Astyanax mexicanus: one gene and its partner. The protein of the gene in region 2 interacts with the protein of the main gene of each other region in a pairwise test. Links are inferred from orthologs where the notes say so. Each region holds a gene or a part of one and is shown on either strand. Other genes may lie near its edges. The genes, in order: lin7a and pals1a.

Evidence for each region.
Region 1: the proteins of pals1a (region 2) and lin7a interact in binary tests that used the Homo sapiens proteins (3 or more experiments, as listed by UniProt). The two-hybrid records come from large-scale screens. The link is inferred for Astyanax mexicanus from reciprocal best matches to the Homo sapiens genes PALS1 and LIN7A.

Annotation. Positions count from the first base shown.
Region 1 is NC_064409.1:24,819,598-24,828,740, reverse strand, and holds the start of lin7a (protein lin-7 homolog A), read right to left. Parts: upstream 4,597-9,143; 5' UTR 4,501-4,596; coding exon 4,464-4,500; intron 1-4,463. UniProt on the Homo sapiens protein: Plays a role in establishing and maintaining the asymmetric distribution of channels and receptors at the plasma membrane of polarized cells.
Region 2 is NC_064421.1:29,476,498-29,485,749, reverse strand, and holds the start of pals1a (protein PALS1), read right to left. Parts: upstream 3,704-9,252; 5' UTR 3,573-3,703; intron 3,393-3,572; exon of another isoform or gene 3,309-3,392; intron 1-3,308. Other genes in the region: gphna (gephyrin a), read right to left, coding at 6,685-6,818, 7,309-7,405, 8,703-8,806. UniProt on the Homo sapiens protein: Plays a role in tight junction biogenesis and in the establishment of cell polarity in epithelial cells.

The DNA of each region.
Region 1 (9,143 bases), on a different chromosome or scaffold from region 2:
TTAGATCACTTTAGACATTCTGTACTAACATCAATCCGATCTGTACAGAGTGTACAAAGTAACTGGTAATGCAATCACACCACATGATCATAATACTGTTAGCGATTAAGTAGCTACTCAGCTATCTGACAGCTAGACTATAACTCAGCTACTCCACATAATGCAGACAGTCTGTTCCAGGCATGACTGCCTGTTAAAACTAACTGTAGAAATTGTAGACACTGGAGATGGAAAGACAGTTTAGCTGAGAAAATGAGATGGAAAATGGGCGGGGCTGTTTTGTAATTTAAACATACAGAGATAGGTGGTGCTACACGTCATACTGCAACCAGTCAGCAGAGGCATTGCACCTGTGGTAGCTTCACTATGAAAGACATTATGCTGTCCATGTTTTTATATACTCAGTGATTAGACACTCAATTAGCATCATGCTGACTGCTGTACACAAGGTACCTCAGATTTGTTAGCTACATTAGCCTCGTAGCTCCGGTGTAAAACTAGAGAAGCTAACCTTCTGACACTGAACATATATTACTGTATGGAATGGACTACACTTGGAGTAAAGTAGAATCAGTTTAAACATGTAAAAGCTTTTAAAACTCAATTCAAGCTAAATCACGGTGCTGTTCATCCCTGCGCCGTCCTATTAGCACCTCTGCAGCCCTGATTTACATTCTCTTCATTTACACAAAACTCTGACCCTCGCTAATGCATCCATTAGCCCCGCTGGGATGCTAATGCTCAAAACTAGCCACACTTTACACATAATAACCATAATTCATTTTAAACTGTACATTCAGAAACAGCAATCTACATTTATTATTAAAGGACCTGTAGCATTAGAAATAGCAACAACACTGTCCTAAACAGCTGGTTTCAGATAGTCTCTTGATGGTCAAGGTAGTTGAAAAACTGGTCATCCAGGTAAAAACATACTTTGTACAATCTATAAATCAGCTAACTAAATTGGTTTCCAATCTGAAGACGCCAGAAAAAAACACATATGTATTTATATACAGTATCGCACAAAAGTGAGTACACCTTTCACATTTTTGTAAATACTGTTTTATATCTTTTCATTGGACAACACTGAAGATATGACACATTGATACAATGTAACTTAGTCAGTATACAACAGTGTACATTTTCTGTACCCTCAAAAAACTTAACACAATCCATTATTGTCTAAACCACTGGCAAAAATATGAGTACACCTCTAAGTTAAAATGGGCAAATTGTGCCCAAATACACATATTCCGTTCCTCGTATCATGTGACTCCTTAGTATTACAAGGATGTAAATGGGCAGCAGGCCATTTAAACGTGGACATTTATTATGGCACTTCATAGCGTAGGCTAAAAGACGTTTGGTAACACCCTAAAACTGAGATACAGCATGATGGCCAAGGTCATAAAGCAGTTTTCCAGGACCGGTTCCACCCAAGCCCCCCAGGGTTGACCAAAGAAGTTGAGTCCACATGTACAGCATTATATCCAGAGGTTGGCTTTAAAAAAAGTGGCATATACTGCATGAACTCAGTCTGCATGGCACTGACCTAGAAGGACATCTCTTCTAAAGCTGATGCACAAGAAAGCCAACAAACAGTTTGCTGAAGACAAGCAGTCCAAGAACATGGGATACATGCATGGCCTGGTGCTGCCAACACTGGAAAGCTGAATTCAATGTACTGTGACATTCTGAAGCAGAGCATGATTTCCTCCCTTTGAAAACTGGGCCACATGGCAGATTTCCAACACAATAACAATCTCAAACACAACTCCAAGATGACAACTGTCTCGCTGAGGAAGCTGAAGAAAAAGGTAATGGACTGGCCAAGTATGTCTCAAGACCTAAACTCAATTGAGCACATCTGGGGCATCCTTAAATTAAAGGTGGAGGATTGCAAGGTCTCTAAAGGCTAGATTTATGATTTCGTCATGGAGGAGTGGAAGAGGATTGCAGTGGCGATCTGGGAAGCTCTGAGGAATGCGATGACCAAGAGGATTAAGGAGGTGCTGGGAAATATTGGTGGCCACATAAAATGTTGGTGCTTTAGGCACAATTTTGCTATTTTGACTTAGAGATATACTCACTTTTGTTTCTAGTGGTTCAGACTATTGAATTAAGTTACAGCAAATTTACACTGTTATACACAGTGTTCTCAAGTCTCACGCTTTGAGCACCTCAGCGAGTTCACACGCTCACACACCACACATGGTATTTCTCACGCTTACCAATCCATCGGCTGTATATTATAATGTACTCTTGTTGAGCCAATCAGAATAAAAATCACTCTGTTGTTTGGCAGACCTAGTCAAAGAGGGTGGTGCGAAGAACTGTCCAATTCAAAAGTTCTGAAACACTCGGTGAACAACTGAAGGAGAACGGCGGCAAACCTGCCCACACTTGCACATCCACCAATCCCACCCAGCTCCCCCCGTTGTACAACTGAAGAAGAACAGCGCGCATCCACAACTTCGTACAACTGAAGAAGACCTGCGAACACTACCACCACTTTAAAACTTGAGAGCCCTGGTTATACAAGCTGTACACTGACTACTTTACATTGTTTTAAAATATCATATCTTCAGTGTTGTCCCATAAAAAATATAAGAAAATATCTACTAAAATGTGAGGGGTGTACTGTACTGTATAATTGTAAAGCCTATATTAGCTTTATGCAGTTTTTTCAAAAAAATAATACAGCTTCAGTGTCATATTTGATATTTTTGCCCTATATTAAATTCAGTAAATTGTGTAAAGTCTTCACATAAACATAAAGTCTGTGTGTTGTGTAAATGTGAATTGTGACTGAGTACATGTTATAAAAAGATCAGAAATACTCAAGTAGAGAAATGTAGGGTACAGGCCATTAAAGCAGTATAATAAAATCAGGGCTGCAGCACTCTAACCTACTGAGCCACTCACTTCAGTGTGTGCTAACAGCACATTATACCATCCATCACTAACCCAGACAGCCTTAAAACACCATAACCCAGCATACCTCTCATACCAGGGCAAGGGCTACTGCCATACCAGTTATACCATGGGCCAGTGCTATCCCATTACTCTATTAATATCCCAGCCTTGCTCAGCCTAGCCTGCTGACCACATCACTACCACCAGTTACACAGTATACACTAGGAATGGACAATAATTGAATATCAATATTTATTATTATATGAATTATTATAAAATAACAGTCAAATAATTTTTACCCGTCTGAGGCCCGCATTAAGCCCCAAACTTATAACCTATTAACTTATTAAGCTTCATAACTGAACAACCGTGCATCATACAGATATAATCTACATATCAGATATCCATCAAATCAGTGAATAATCCAGCTCAGAATAACAATGAGAATCACCAGTTAGCCGGGACACTACAATAACTACAATTAGCATGAACTATAGCCATAATCAGTGTGACCGTCTTCTACTAATTATCAATAATTTTTAGTTGAATAAAGGTAAATCAAAATATAAAATACTGGTCTAGGATTGTGAGAGACATACAGTATTTTACATCTGTCTCTGACTGATGTCCATAACAGGGAGCTGCTGTCAGTTCACTGAATTCAAGCTGAGCACAAAGGGCAGAACACTACAGAGTACTGTAGCCTGGCAGTGTCACTGAGTGATGAGCACCACAGGTGGAGGCTTTTTACTGTTCATATTCATATAATAATTATATCATATCGACCGGAATTAATCGTGGAAGATTTTGACTACACACTATTATGGCCATTTAAAGATTATGGCAATTAGAGATCGGCCTGAGGAACACCAGTACAACCAGAAACACAGCACACTCACACCATCGTACCCATTCTGGCTTAACTCCCAGTTAGGGGCTATAGTGCATGCACAGTGCACACACACACAAAACACACAAACACACACGCGCGCGCGCGCATCCCATAATACTCCACTGAAACACATAGTCAGCAGCCCCTTTAGAGAATTGTACGCAAAACAACATAAAACATAAAACAGAAGCACGAGCTCAGATCTCATCATTACTCCAGTGATGCTGTGCAACGTCTGCGTGCACGCGCAGCTCGCGCATGATGACAGGGGGGTCTGGGAGCTCGTGCGCGGCAGAAGCACCTGCCTGTACCCCCCTCCCTCCATTGTTTGGACCCGAACTTCAGGTACAGGAGTAAACAGAAACAGCGGAGAGTAAAGGACGCGCGTGCACGCGAGTAAAGCGCGCGCGGGTGTGTGCACAGGTGGGAGTAATTCAGCCTGGTTTACTGACAGATAGACTACACACACCACACCGAGCGAGCGAGCGAGCGCGAGCACGGCGGCTCGAGCCGGAGCGCGCGGCGCAACACACTCCATAAAAAACGCCGTTCATACGAACTATACGGGAATTAAAGCGTTTACACGGGAGATAAAATAAACCGAATCTAAGCGAATTAGAGCCCGGATCTAGCGGATCCATCGCGCGCTTACCTCGCTCCAGAGTCAGCGGCTGGACCACCGTCGCCATGTCTGCCTTCTATTACTGCACACACTGAGAGAGAGAGAGAGAGAGAGAGAGAGAGAGAGAGAGAGAGAGAGAGAGAGAGAGAGAGAGAGAGAGTAAGGGGATGGGAGGGGGAGTGAAGAGAGTGAGAGAAGGATAAACAGAGCGAGGAGTAGTGAGTGAGAGGAAGAGTAGGAGAAGAGAGGGGTTATTATAGAGAGAGAGAGCAAGGAAGAATGAACTGAAGAGAGAGAGATGAAGAGAGAGAGAGAGAGATAGGAAGAATGAACTAAAGAGAGAGAGGTGAGAAATAGAAAGAATGAACTGAAGAGAGAGTGATGAGAGAGAGATAGTGAGAATTAACTGAAGATAGAGAGAGAGAGTGATGGAGAGAACAAGTAGCAGAGAGATAGTGTGAGGAAGGGGTGAGGGGAAAAAGAGGTACAGAGTGAGAGAGAGTGATAGTGAGAGACGGGTGTACAAAAACAGTGGGAAATATAGACGGAAGAGGAGAGAGAATGGGAGAGAGATTAATAAAGAGTTAAAAGATGGAGATAGGGAGGAGAGAGTAAGTGAGAGAGACTAAGAAAGAGAATAAGCAGTAAAAAAAACAAGAGCGAGGCAGGGAGGTACAGAAAAAGAGTGAGAGACAGAGGGGATGAGTGGGAGAGTTAGTGAGAGAGTGCGTTAGGAATTAAGAGATGTATGAGAAAGAGATAGGAATAAGTGAAATGGAATACACAAGAAAGTGTGAGGGGTGCAGAATGAGAGAGAAAGGGAGAGAAATAAGGATGAGAGATAGGAAGAAAGCGTTAAGAGAGCGATAGTAATGATGATTATAGAGTGAGAGGGAAGCGATGAGAAAGAGGTAATAAGATAAAAGAGAATGAAATGATAGTAAGAAAGGGGTGTAGAGAAAGAAAAAATAGTGTGAGAATGTGCGAGAGTGAGAGAACACCAGAAAGGTAGTGTGAGATAGGGAGAGATTATGTGAGAGAGGGAGAGTTGACTGAGAGAGAGATAGATAGAGAGAGAGAGAGAGAGAGAGAGAGATAGCAATTATGAGTAAAAGAGAGAAAGGTTGATGAGAAAAAGGCAGTAAGAGAAAAAGAAAAATAGGGATGAGTGATAGGAAGAAAGAATTGATTAGAGAGGTACTGTTTATAGGAATAAAGAGAATAAAAGAGGCTGTGAGAAAAGGATTATGAAGAATAGAGAATTAAGATAAAAATAAGAGAATTAATGAGAATAGTGGATTAAGGATAGTGATTAAGAGAGAAAGTGGGAGAGAGAAATATTGTAAGGTTAAGAGAGAAAGGGTAAAGGAGAGATGGGGATCATAAAGAGAAAGAAAAATAGATATAGTATGAGAGAGTAAAAGAGTAAAGGTGTAAAAGAGATGGAGAAAGTAAGAAAAAGAGAGAGGGGTGGAAGAGACAAGATGGGGATAACAAGAAAAGGGAGAATAAAATAGTAAAAGAGAAAGAGATGGGGTTAATGAGAAAAAGAGGTATAGACAGAGAAGGGGTAGTATGAGAGATAAATGTAATGATAGAGAGAATGGGTACAGTAGTACAGTAATACAGAAGTACAATATATATGAGTGGGATAAAGGTTGAGAAAAAGACAGAATAATTAAAGAGAGTGGGCAACTGCCCCTTTGGTGACCCCATGGTAAAAAAGTGTCACTAAAGTGCCATCTAAAGTGGAAAAGGAGACAAATAACCCTATTGTCTGCCCATCTAGTCGGGACAAACAGTGATTGAGTGCCCATTAGGTGCCCCTTCTTAGAATAAATGATGTTGCTGTGCTGTTAGATCAAGAAATGTTAATAATTTGTCTTAAAGAGTGCCATCTGTGAGTGCCCGTCTGCCGTTTCAGTAGTAGTAGGGGTGCCATTATAACGTGTCCCAAAGAGTGCCCTTTCCAGTAGAGTGAATGAATGGTGTTCTCCTACAGTTGAAAGAACATGATGATGTGCTCAGTTAGGTGCCCCTCTAATTGAGAAGTGCCACCAGTGTATTAAATGTGATGTGGTGCCATACAGGTGCCTTCACAATTTCATAAACTGTATTTAATGGTACTAGACTAGAAAGTACAGGCCCTATGTCATGCAGTCATCCAGAGTGAATAAATGAGAGAGAGAGCTCAAGAAAGAGAAAGAGATAGGGATGATGAGGAAGAGAACGAGAAAGAAAGAGGGTGTGTAAGACAGAGAGATATATGGATGATGCATTTATTGTGAGGCTGTTGGTTTATATTGACTGTTAATGATCTGAGGATGTCCACTGCTCCTGTTCAGTATGAGTGATGGTTTTGGCAATTCTTGTCCAGGCAGTCCTGGTGTAATCTGTGGGTTTATATGGAGTGGAACAGCAGCAGCCCCAGAGCAGGGTTCTGTTTGGGACATCCAGCTGAGGTTTAATGGGCTGGAGCACTGCAGGTAAGCTGGAAGAGGATAAAATGCTGCTATCTACGAGCCCAGCTATTTACAAGTTCTTCATGGGTCACTTGCTGGATGTAATGTACAGCCAAAACAGTGCAGACTGCTAAAACAGCCTGGCCAGCTTAACCAATTTGGTTAAACTGGTTGACTAACTTACAATATATTGCCAAAAATATTTGCTCTTTTTTAACCCATAGAGGTTTGAATGATGTGAGCTTACCCTCTGCAGCTATAACACTTTTATTTCTTCTGGAAAGGCTTTCCACAAGGTTTGGGAGTGTGTTTATAAGTTTTTTTTGACACATTTGTGAGGCCAGGTACTGATAATGGATGAGAAAGCCTGGCTCTTGTCTCCACTCTAATTCATTCCAAAGGTGTTCTATTGGGTTTGAGGTCAAAACAGTCAAGTTCTTCCAAAACAGACATGCTTATCCATGTTTTTAAATACTTTTTTTGAGCACTGGTGTGCAGACAGGTTGGATTAGGAAAGGGCATCCCCAAACTGTTGCTGCAGAGTTAGGAGCATGACATTTTCCAAAGTCTCTTGGTGTGCTGAAACATGAGGAGTCTCTTTCACTGGAAGTGGCCAAGCCCAACTCCTGGAAAAAAAACCTTAATCCCCCTCCACCAAACTTTACACTTGGCACAATGCAGCCAGACAAAATTAGCATGATTGGTCTCTCCAGAGAACATGTCACAACTGTTCTACAGTCCAGTGGCCGCTGGTAATGAGAACACCTGAAGTAAATTTTTTTTTGAATGGGTGAATTAATATATTTGGCAATAAAGCTCTATATATAGTTCTTGACCAGTATAAGCTATTTGTTTTATCTGGGTTTGACAGTTTAGCCCAACCAGTCAGGTCAACCAGTATAAACAAATTTGCTATACAGTACTGATTGTAACATTAAAATCAATGCCATGTGAAATGAACAGCATTGGTGATCTAGGTCTAATGGCACCTGTGTAAGGGGTGGATTCATAGACCTGCCACATGTTTTGGTCGAGCTAGTCGCCATCTCGGTCAGGCATTGTCATGGAACCAATTTGGTGGTGATTTTTATGCCTATTATATCTGGGGCCAAGTGTCACAGTTTTCTCCATAGGACACATTAGTCCATGTTTGGCCCAAATACAGTCACTTTGGTGCATTTCTCAAATCTGAATTAATATTTGCAACACAGTGTGGGCACTTCTCAGAACAGCTTGTACAAACAGCATCACATAAATTATCAGCAGCAAATGCACACACTGCAATCAAATTCCTTTACCCATGACCCAAACGTATGTATACATGTAAGTGAACATGTCAGTCACCAGAATAAAAAGTTATTTATTCATCGATTATGAACAAGACAGTCAAAATGATTAGTCATGTGGTCATGTATCAGTATACTCAGTGAGGAATTTCATAATGCATAATTTATCTTTATGATTTTACTGTTTGTATAAATGGCAGATCATGTTGTTGTACCACAGAACAGACAAGAATATCAGTAATACAGTATTTTCATCAGGTTAAAGCCAGCTACATCCAGGTGTATGATTTACTTTATTCCAGTTCCATTAGGTTACATTCCAGAATATGCAACATGACTTATGAATTACATTCATTGTTATTTTGTACTGTATATATTATACACCTATCAAGCATAACATTGTGACTAACTACTTGTTTCTACATCCATAATCTATGTTTTAGCTCCACTGTGCATATAGGAGCACTTTATAGTTATATAATAGTTGATTGTTGTTTAATATGCGGTGGGATTTAAACACTTTGTCCACTCTATTAGACACTTTTAACTAGTTTCTCTACATTGTAGATGTGAAGTCATCTGTGGCACGTTTTGTGTTGGTCATCCTCTAGACCTTCATCAATGCCCACAGGATGCTGCCCATGAGATGCTGGTTGGTGGACTACTCTCAGTCCAGCAGTGACACTGAGGTGTTTAAAAAATCCAGCAGCACTGCTGTACCAGCACTACACACACTAACACCTCATACACCACCACCACCATGATAATCAAAGCTGATCACTGCAGTGCTGAGAATAATGACCCACCACCCAAACAATAATCCCAGCTCTGTGGTGGTCCTGTGGTGCATGTAATACAGTACATCTGTGTCATTCTCAGCTGGAACATTTTCGGCACCCTGTCAGTGATTAAAATATATAAAATCTGCTTTACAGGCTCTGATAACTAATTTAAATAATTTG
Region 2 (9,252 bases):
AAGGTGTTTTTGTCCTGTTACCGCTCCGCAAAAAAACCTCTTCCTTTAATCCGCGCCCCACATACACATTTTTGCAGCACCTGCCCCGAGGTCCTAATATAAATTGAATTAATTACATTTAGTGCTTAAAATTTACTTAAAATTTATTTAAAACGTGCTGAACAGTGCGGCCGTTTATTCCCAAAGTCCAAACACTATGGTTGTTTGCGTGTGTCGGGCCATACTCCACTATTCTTTAGGGTTTTTTGTTGCATGCATGAGAATAACTATTACAATTTTCTTAACTATTTATTAATTTGCTCCAGCGTCTTCTGGATTGATTACACGTTGTGTTTTCGTTGTTTGCCGCGCCACTTAGACGGAAATGGAAATGAATGTTTATCGAATTCTATTGCACAGGCTTATCATCGTCATCGAGGGAAAAATTATCGCGAAACAAATCGATATCGTTATATCGCCCAGCACTAACATAGGCTGTGAATTACTTCTGGAATGAGGAAACAAAAATGTCAGATGGTCTGTCATCAGATAACAGAAACAGTAAATAAGAAATATAACGCACTTTTTTCTACCCATAACCCAACTTTAACACTAAATTTATATAAATCTATCTATAAAAGGAGAGGACTGGGCTGCACTGGATTTGTGTATGTTTGTTTGTAAGTCCCTAGTTAACACTACTTGCTTTTTAAACCTAGCCGAGCTATATTAATCACAGAAATGTGATGACAGATTGACACCACTGTGCTAGTTAGAGTAACTCCTGCTGTTAAAAATAATGTGTGTATTATATCTGTTATGATAATCTGTCACCAGTTATGATGGTCAGATTACCGGCATATACTTTATCGTCATAAAGTGGCACTCGGATGAGTAATACTGAAATACTGAAAATGTGTTTAAATATCACTGTTATTAAAATATATTCTCTTGTGAACAATATTCATACTAAATTATCTAGTCACAAATAGCCTACATTCAAACTTATAATGAGCTGATTCAACAGGGCCAAGAAAAACATTATAGAACTCCATGCCACAGAGTTCTGTTAAACTCAGAACATCATAAAACACCATAAAAGCATCAAAACTACCCTGAGATATTATAATACAATAAAAAGTCTAGTCAGTCCTAAACCACACTGTAAGACAATTATTATAACTGCATTGCCATACTATTGGATCGGGACTCCGTATTGGCAGATACTCAAAATCAAATGATTTACTCTAGGACAAAAAATGTGATTGGGACATTCCTAACTATGACAGTTTTTAAAACAAATGCAATATATTTCCTTACATTATCACTATTATATTGCAATTTATTCAATCACAATTCCTGGAAAGTGATATGTATTCTATCTTGCCAAAACACAGCCTAACCAATGACTTCATCCACTTTACATCTAATGACTTCTGCAGACCTGTATCTGGGGTGTGGCTGAGTGAAACTCAGCTCATGTCTAAGGAAACTGCCTGATGTCTGAGAACAATGTCATTTCTTACTGGAGAACAGTGAAGCGGTGAGTCAAAAGGTCTCAGGAAATACTGCTCTCAGGAAACATGGACAGGAAAAACTACAAAATCTACTAAAGCAAACTTTCTCTGAATTTGAAATTCTATCAACAACAATCTTTGAAATCAAGGACATTCCTTTACATTCTACAAACTGAACCAAACAAATTGAGTGCCATTATCAGCTGGTAATGCACGGTAACCGAAGCTCTCCATGTATTACTCTGCCACATGCAGGTAACCTAGCAACGATGCAGCACTTACAAGGCAAACAGCGCAGCTACAAATGGAGCAGTAATATAACTATTTTAACTCTAAGTGTTTATAACCAAACAGATGGTATTTTCTCGTCCTCTTTAGCTCAAAATCTTTCCATAAACAGCGATAATGGAACTGCGGTATAATCACAACAATACATTCGAAGGTTCTGCTATAATGTGTAATATTGGCACTGCTGTGCTGCAGTCTTAGGCATGAGTGTATTATTGCTTAATTCTATCAGTCATTGCTTAATTATATCAACTAATCGTTTCAGCCTAATTCCAGTTCAACATTGAACATTTTCAGCTTGCCAAAAATAAATTTTCACCACAAAACCATTTTTTATTTTAAATTAATTTATGGCAATATGTAGAACTTCAAAACAGAAGGCGAAAGTTGAGTAGGGGAAAATCTAAGATATTGTATTGGTAACATTTTGTTTTATTATTACTGTATTAGAGCACTCTTGGTTAAATTGCAAAATTTCTTTATTTTCTAAAATGTAGAGAATTTACATCCAGACAAAAATAAACATGCTTGAACATCATGGAGTATAATTATAATTCAATAACTTAATTTAACATTAAATTAAGAAAATTAAATATAATGTGGCATGTGCAAAAGTAATGGTAAACAAAATTGTAGAGTATTTTGTTTTGTAAATGGCTCATTGTTAAAACAGGAATTGTGTCAAGGTATATTTAGAATATGTATTTATTTATCTGCACTCAGTCTTATACAAGTCCACTACAAAAATAATCTGTATTGTTATTCGTTACAATTATAAAAATGTTAGAAATCATTTTAAACTCACATTATCACTAAAGCCAGAGTGAAAGATGCTCTGCTCTGTCACTGGGTTTGATGAAGCTGCTGCTCATCAATGAGTGAATCAAGAGATTTAGCTGATCTAATATGAAAACCATACTGCTCCCGTTCTGCCCTTTCACTGCTTTCTTTCATATCTATATAACACAGTACTGTACTTTTACTTTCAGTACTTCAGCACTACATTTTACTATAAACTACCTGCTGCAGCTCTTAAGTACAAAACATGTGAAATACTTCAGTATTCATGGGAATTAAAGAACACTTGAACTTCTACTTAAGTTAATAACTTTTTGATGGATAACGTTTAACTTACTCATATCTGGGTTTCTAGTAGTTTATACACCTTTATAAATTACATCGGCCGGGGGCGCTGTGCTGTGAGTAGAGTACACTTGTAAATAAGCATAAGGTCGGATTAGACATTAAACAGCTAATTAAAGTTTTGTTTAATTTAGCTAGGGTTAGTTAGTTAGTTAACTATGGAGGTTTAGGGGGGGAACACTCGAAATTACGAGTGTTTGTAAGAATTAGTTCGCGAAGTTGTGAAGAGGCTGTGTTGGTGAAACTCAGCCCCGGGACGGAGCAGCTGTGGGTTAAATTAGCTGGTTAAGCTAAACTATTCACTTTACTGTTTAACGACTCGCGGAGAACAAATTCAGCCCCGTTAATGTCAAGTAATCCCTCAGAAACAGGAATATTTACCAGAAGGAAGTGTTAAAACAGCGCGGTGCGCGCCGTGAGTCCGCCCGCTCCTTTAGAAGCGCTGAAGAGTTTACAAGTAGCTGCTTAGCTAACAGGCTAACAAGCTAACAGGCTAACAGCGCTCCCCCGCCCGCCGCGCGCGCCGCTCCTGGCAACCTGTCGCGAGGGAGCGCAGAGCTCGCGAGCGGAGCCGCGCCGCCGCACCAAGACACTAAACACTGCGGGCCGAGGACTGAAAGAACAGCGGGGAAAGTTGGTCTTTACCTCTCGGGCTAAAATCCGCGGAGACTTCCCGGTTTTAATCCGTATCCGCCGAGTCGCTCCTCACATACAGCAGCGCAGCAGAGCGGCCGCGGCCCGGGCTCGCGACATGTTGTGGTAAAGTGAGACGGGGAGGGGGGGGAGGGGGGAGAGGGGGCGGTAAGTGACTCTGCAGCGCCCCCTCGGGTTCAGACAAGAACATATATTTTTTTCCAAAGCCTAAACAGTTTTACAACACTAATCTGTTCATTTTACTCAAACATATACCTATAAATAGCAAAATCAGAGAAACTCAAGTAGTCTCTTACATATAAATATATAACATTACAGCTCTGGAACAAAAGTTTCTGAACCAGTTTCTCTGATTTCGCTATTTATAGGTAGATGTTTGTGTATCAAGAACATTTGTTGATTTATTCTATAAACGGCAGACAGCATTTCTCCCATATTCCAAATAAAAATATTGTCCTTTAGAGCATTTATTTGCAGAAAATGAGAAATGGTCAAATTTACAAAAAAGGCGCAGAGCTTTGAGACCTCAAATAATACAAAAAAAATCATATTAATAAGCTTTTAAGATCAGAAATAAATATTTGGTGGAATAACCCTCGTTTTTAATCACAGATTTCATGCATCTTGGCATGTTCCCCTCCACCAGCCTTACACACTGCTTTTGGATAACTTTATGCCACTCCTAGTGGCTTAAAAAGAAAGTATATATATATATATATATATATATATATATATATATATATATATATATATATATATATATATATATACCAACTGCACAGTGTTGGGCATAATGAAAAACGCCCTCTTATCTAAACTTTGCCATAATACTAAAACTGGAAAATTCTTCTGTATTCCTGAGTAAAATTTTATGTTATTCAGTGGGCGGGCAAATAAATAAAAAAATAAAAAAATATATAAATATAAATAAATATATATATATATATATATATATATATATGAATGCTTAAGAAATGAAAAGGCACACAACCAGTGTCACCACTAAGTCTAGACAGTTCCGTAGGTGTGACTAACAGGATACTGAGAAGGACTTTTAATAGGACAGTCTTACTAAAGACAACCCACATACCTTTACAGTGGAACAGTGCTGCACTACAATTCAGGAGTCTGATCCATCTTCAGGAAGGTCTTTTGTGCCTTTCTAGAATAGAGAGCTGAACCCTGCCTCTAAAAATGGTCTGGGTTTTCCAGACCTTATCTTTACCTCTACTGTACCTGTTAACTGTCATTTCTTTATAAATATCTGAAACTGAGGAAATTATATCCTAAAAAAGCTTCTCTTGCTTAAGACATAAAAAGGAAATCTTTGTTTAAACATTTTGCCTTTTTGGAGATTGGCTCACCTTCTACTTACCTGGCTTTTTACAGTAACAGTCATTCGGACCACAAGTGTTCTCAAAATTGTGAATGCTCCTTTCCATTTGAAAAACAGAACACGGTCAGAAACTTCAGCCATCTTTCAATGTTTATTTTAAAAAGAGAAACTGAACCACATGTTTTTTACAGAATGATCAAGGATTTTAATTTCATCAGTTTGAATATCATTACAGAAAAAAAGTTATTATAGTACAGAGTTTTGTCTCCTCATTGCTTCAATATATTCCATAAGGAGTGCTGGTCACACATCTGTACATCACCACTCTCGTGTTCGTTGTCTTTTCTATGTTTGTTTGTATATATGTTTTGACTGTACATTATATATTTATTTATTTAGGTTAAAAAGGCTGTCAGCAATTAAATAAGCTGTATTGTCCTTTTAAAGTCAAAGAAATAAAAGGTCCCAGCTCCCTCAGCCTCTAGGAGTGGGTGGGGCTGGTTAAAGAGGTGGGGTATAGGGCAGGGTTGGGAGTAATAAGGGCGGAGCGATGAAGAGAGATGGTTATGATGGATGTTTTGGACCGAGGAAGTCTGCCGGACCGACCGCTCCAGCTCTTTCATGTGTTTCAGCAGCACAAATCGAACATGTACCTTCCATATAATCAGTAGCTAGGATAACAGAAACTGCACTAACATATGTGCATTTTACTACTAGACACAGCAGGTAAATGTGGACCAAATCCAATGTTTTACATTATATGGGTGACACAGATGTGTCATTTGTGAACAGTAGGGCTAACAGGGCTGATGATTATTTTGGTAGTCAACTAATCTAATAATGATTCTTTTAATTAGTCGATTAGTCAACATTTAACTGCTTTAATTAAAAAAAAAGAAAAAGCTAAACTCTGGATTTAAATGCCCATTACAAAGCGCTGCTGTTATAAATTAACCATTAGTCCACACTGATAAACTAATCAAACGTTTGTCTCTCAGTTTCATAACCACACTCCACTCCCTCCCCGGCCCAGGCCTTTGGCACCGCGCACATAAACACGACTCACGAGATAAACGACAAGCAAAGCAGTTCTGTGAGGCCTTTATGAAGTGCAATGAAGCTTCAATGGAGCATACAGTATAATACTAAAGGGAAAAAAGCTGGGTCACCTCGGTGCACCGAGTGGTGTTGAATGAGTCCGATAGAGACGGGAAACCGAGAAAAAACTCTGCTGTCATCTCGAGCGGTTCTGTCCCTCAAAAAAAAAAAAAATAAATAAATCTTTTCCAGTGATGTAATCTGGACAGGCGCATACAGCTCTTTATTAAAATGCTACTGCTATCTATAAGGTCTAGCACTGAGCACACAAAAGCAATTGCGATGAAAGACAGAGGAGAGTTGCTTAATATGATGATGATAATATATATAATTATATTAATCATTATATTATTATAATATATTACAGAATAAATCTCTTTTCTTTCTTATATATATATATATATATATATATATATATATATATATATATATATATCTTCTTTAAAAGGTATATCTTTCTTTCTTTGAAATACTAGGATGTCTTTGAAGTCTTGAAATACTCATAAATTTGTTCAGAAGTTTTTGTTTCAAAATGTTTATATGATTATACTTGATCATCATTATCCAAATCGATAAAAACTTGCTGTGCCGTTGCATATTACAGAGTAGTAAATGATATGTGGACATGCACCACTTCGCTCTGGGCTTACTGGTCCTCCTAAGACAGCATCATAGCCGTCCTATGACCATCACGTCCACCACCTCTCCTTTGTGCAGCTCCACGTATTGCTCTGTTTTGGGAGGCAGCATTAGAAGTCCGTTGGCACTGCGCATGCTCATCAACCGACTGCTCATCTGGTTTCCTGAGAGAGGGAAGAAAAAAAAGAGCGAGTTAAACCGGTTTTAAGATAAATTACATCCAAACTGACTCCTCTTCAGACTTGAGTCCTTTTTACACACTGTATCTGTATCTGTTCTCTGTATACTTTTTTATTCTCTTCCTTTTATCCTGTTCTTCAATCCTCAGGACCCCAAAGGTGGTGGGTCGTAGCACTGCAGTGATTAGCACTGATTAGCATGGTGGTGGTGTATGAGGTGTTAAGGTGTAAAGACGCACCACCCAAATAATTATAGCTGCTCTGTGGTAGTCTCTCCTATGGGGCCTCAAGTATTGAAGAACAGGGTAAAAAAAGGAGAATAATAAAGTATGCAGAGAAACAAATACAGGACTACCCCTCAGACTTAACTAATATACAACTGAAATATATGGTGGACAAGGATTGGTGTATGTTCCACATCTAGGTGCCACTGTAACCAGATTATTAATTCTGATTAGTGTAAAGTCTCCCCTACCTGTGCTCTGTGCCCAGGGCAGAGGCTCCTGGTGATGCCACGTTAATATACAGCGATGATACTCCGGACGGGGGTCCAGCTTTACATCACAGGACAGCTATGAAGAAAAACATAATTTATTATGAAACCCGAGCACAAAAAACAGAGTCTAATACGGGCCAACAAATAATTGAGTGCAATTCAAATGTACAAACCATGATAAACAACAAACTATAACCACCATCCTTGCTGAACTGAACTTTTATTTTACTAAACTTAACTTTTATATTATTACAGTGGTATTAAAAGTTTGGGCACAACTGAATATTTTAAAATGATTTTTCTTTATAAATTGGTGGTTCGGATCAGCAATTTCAGTTAAATATGTTATGTAGCAGATGAACACCATGATATCTGAGAAGTGAAATAAAGTTAATAGGATTTACAGAAAGTGTGCAATAATTCTTTAAACAAAATTATTTGGAGGGCAGTATGCATGGTGGAAAAAAAGACACAGCATTCCAAGACAAACACTTGCTACCCAGAGTGGTGGTGGTTCCATCATACTGGGGGGCTGTATGTCCAGTGCAGGTACTGGGAATCTTGTTAAAGTTGAGGGTCACATGGATTCCAGTCAGTGTTCAAGAATCAGTGACAGTTAAAGTTGGATACTTCCCACAACCCTAAACACTGCTTAAAATCAGAGGAACAAGTACAACGTTCTGGAATGATTATCTGAGTCCCCAGACCTGAATATTATACAAAATCTTTGGTGTGATTTTAAAGCGGGCTGTTCATGCTCAGAAACCATCAAACCTGACTGAACTTGAGATGTTTTGTAAAGAAGAATGATCCAAAATACCTTCAGCCAGAAACCAGACTCTCATTGGAAGCTATAGGGAGCGTTTAAAGGCTGTTATTTCAGCAAAAGTAGGATCTACTAAATATATATCCACTAAATAAAAAGGATCTCCTCAAATTTCGCTTCTCAAATAAATCTGTTTTCTTCTGCTATATGATATATTTAACTGAAATTGCTGATATAAACAACCAAAAATTCATAAAAGAAAATCATGAAATTCATCAGGGGTGGCCAAACCTTTTCACACCGCTGTATATTTTACCAAGATTAAGGAACACTCCCGCCATGCTCACATGTCTCCCTTTAGCATTGAGTGGCATTTTAGAGATGGTGGGAAAATTACTGAACAAACAAGTAATGAATAAAGCTATTAAAGTTTCTCAAAATGTGACCTTGTGACTTCAAACCCACTGTAAAATATATGAGTACATACCGTTGTAGTTTACCACTGACATAAAGAGGTCATCTTTTGATAAAGTTTATTAAGGTGCAGGAAATCAAAAAAAAAAAAAAAAATTGGGACCTTTTTCCAGGCCCTTAGGGTCTTACTTACCCTGGCTTTGATGATAGTGGGCCGTGGGTCCAGGATACCCTGCATCTTTCTTAACGCAGGAATGACGAACAGGTTACAGGTGACGACAGCGGACACAGGGTTACCTGAAATACAGGAGGAGAGAAAGAAAGAGAGAGCTGAATATAAGCTAAAGATTAGTGATACACAAGTTGCTTGTGAATCAGGGTATAGACTGGAGTCGATCATCCTAAATCCCTTTCACACATGTACACTACTGCCCCAGTACTCTACTGAACATTACCTAGATGGCTGTATGTGTGAATGCAAGTGTATGTATCATTTGTACTGGACATTTATCCTGCCCGCAGGATGAGGCCGTTAGTGATGCAGGTCGAGGCCAGTGGTGATGCAGGATGAGGCCGGAGGTGATGCGGTACGAGGCCGGTAGAGATGCGGGACGAGGCCGGTAGAGATGCGGTACGAGGCCGGTAGAGATGCGGGACGAGGCCGGTAGAGATGCGGGACGAGGCCGGTAGAGATGCGGGACGAGGCCGGTAGAGATGCGGGACGAGGCCGGTAGAGATGCGGT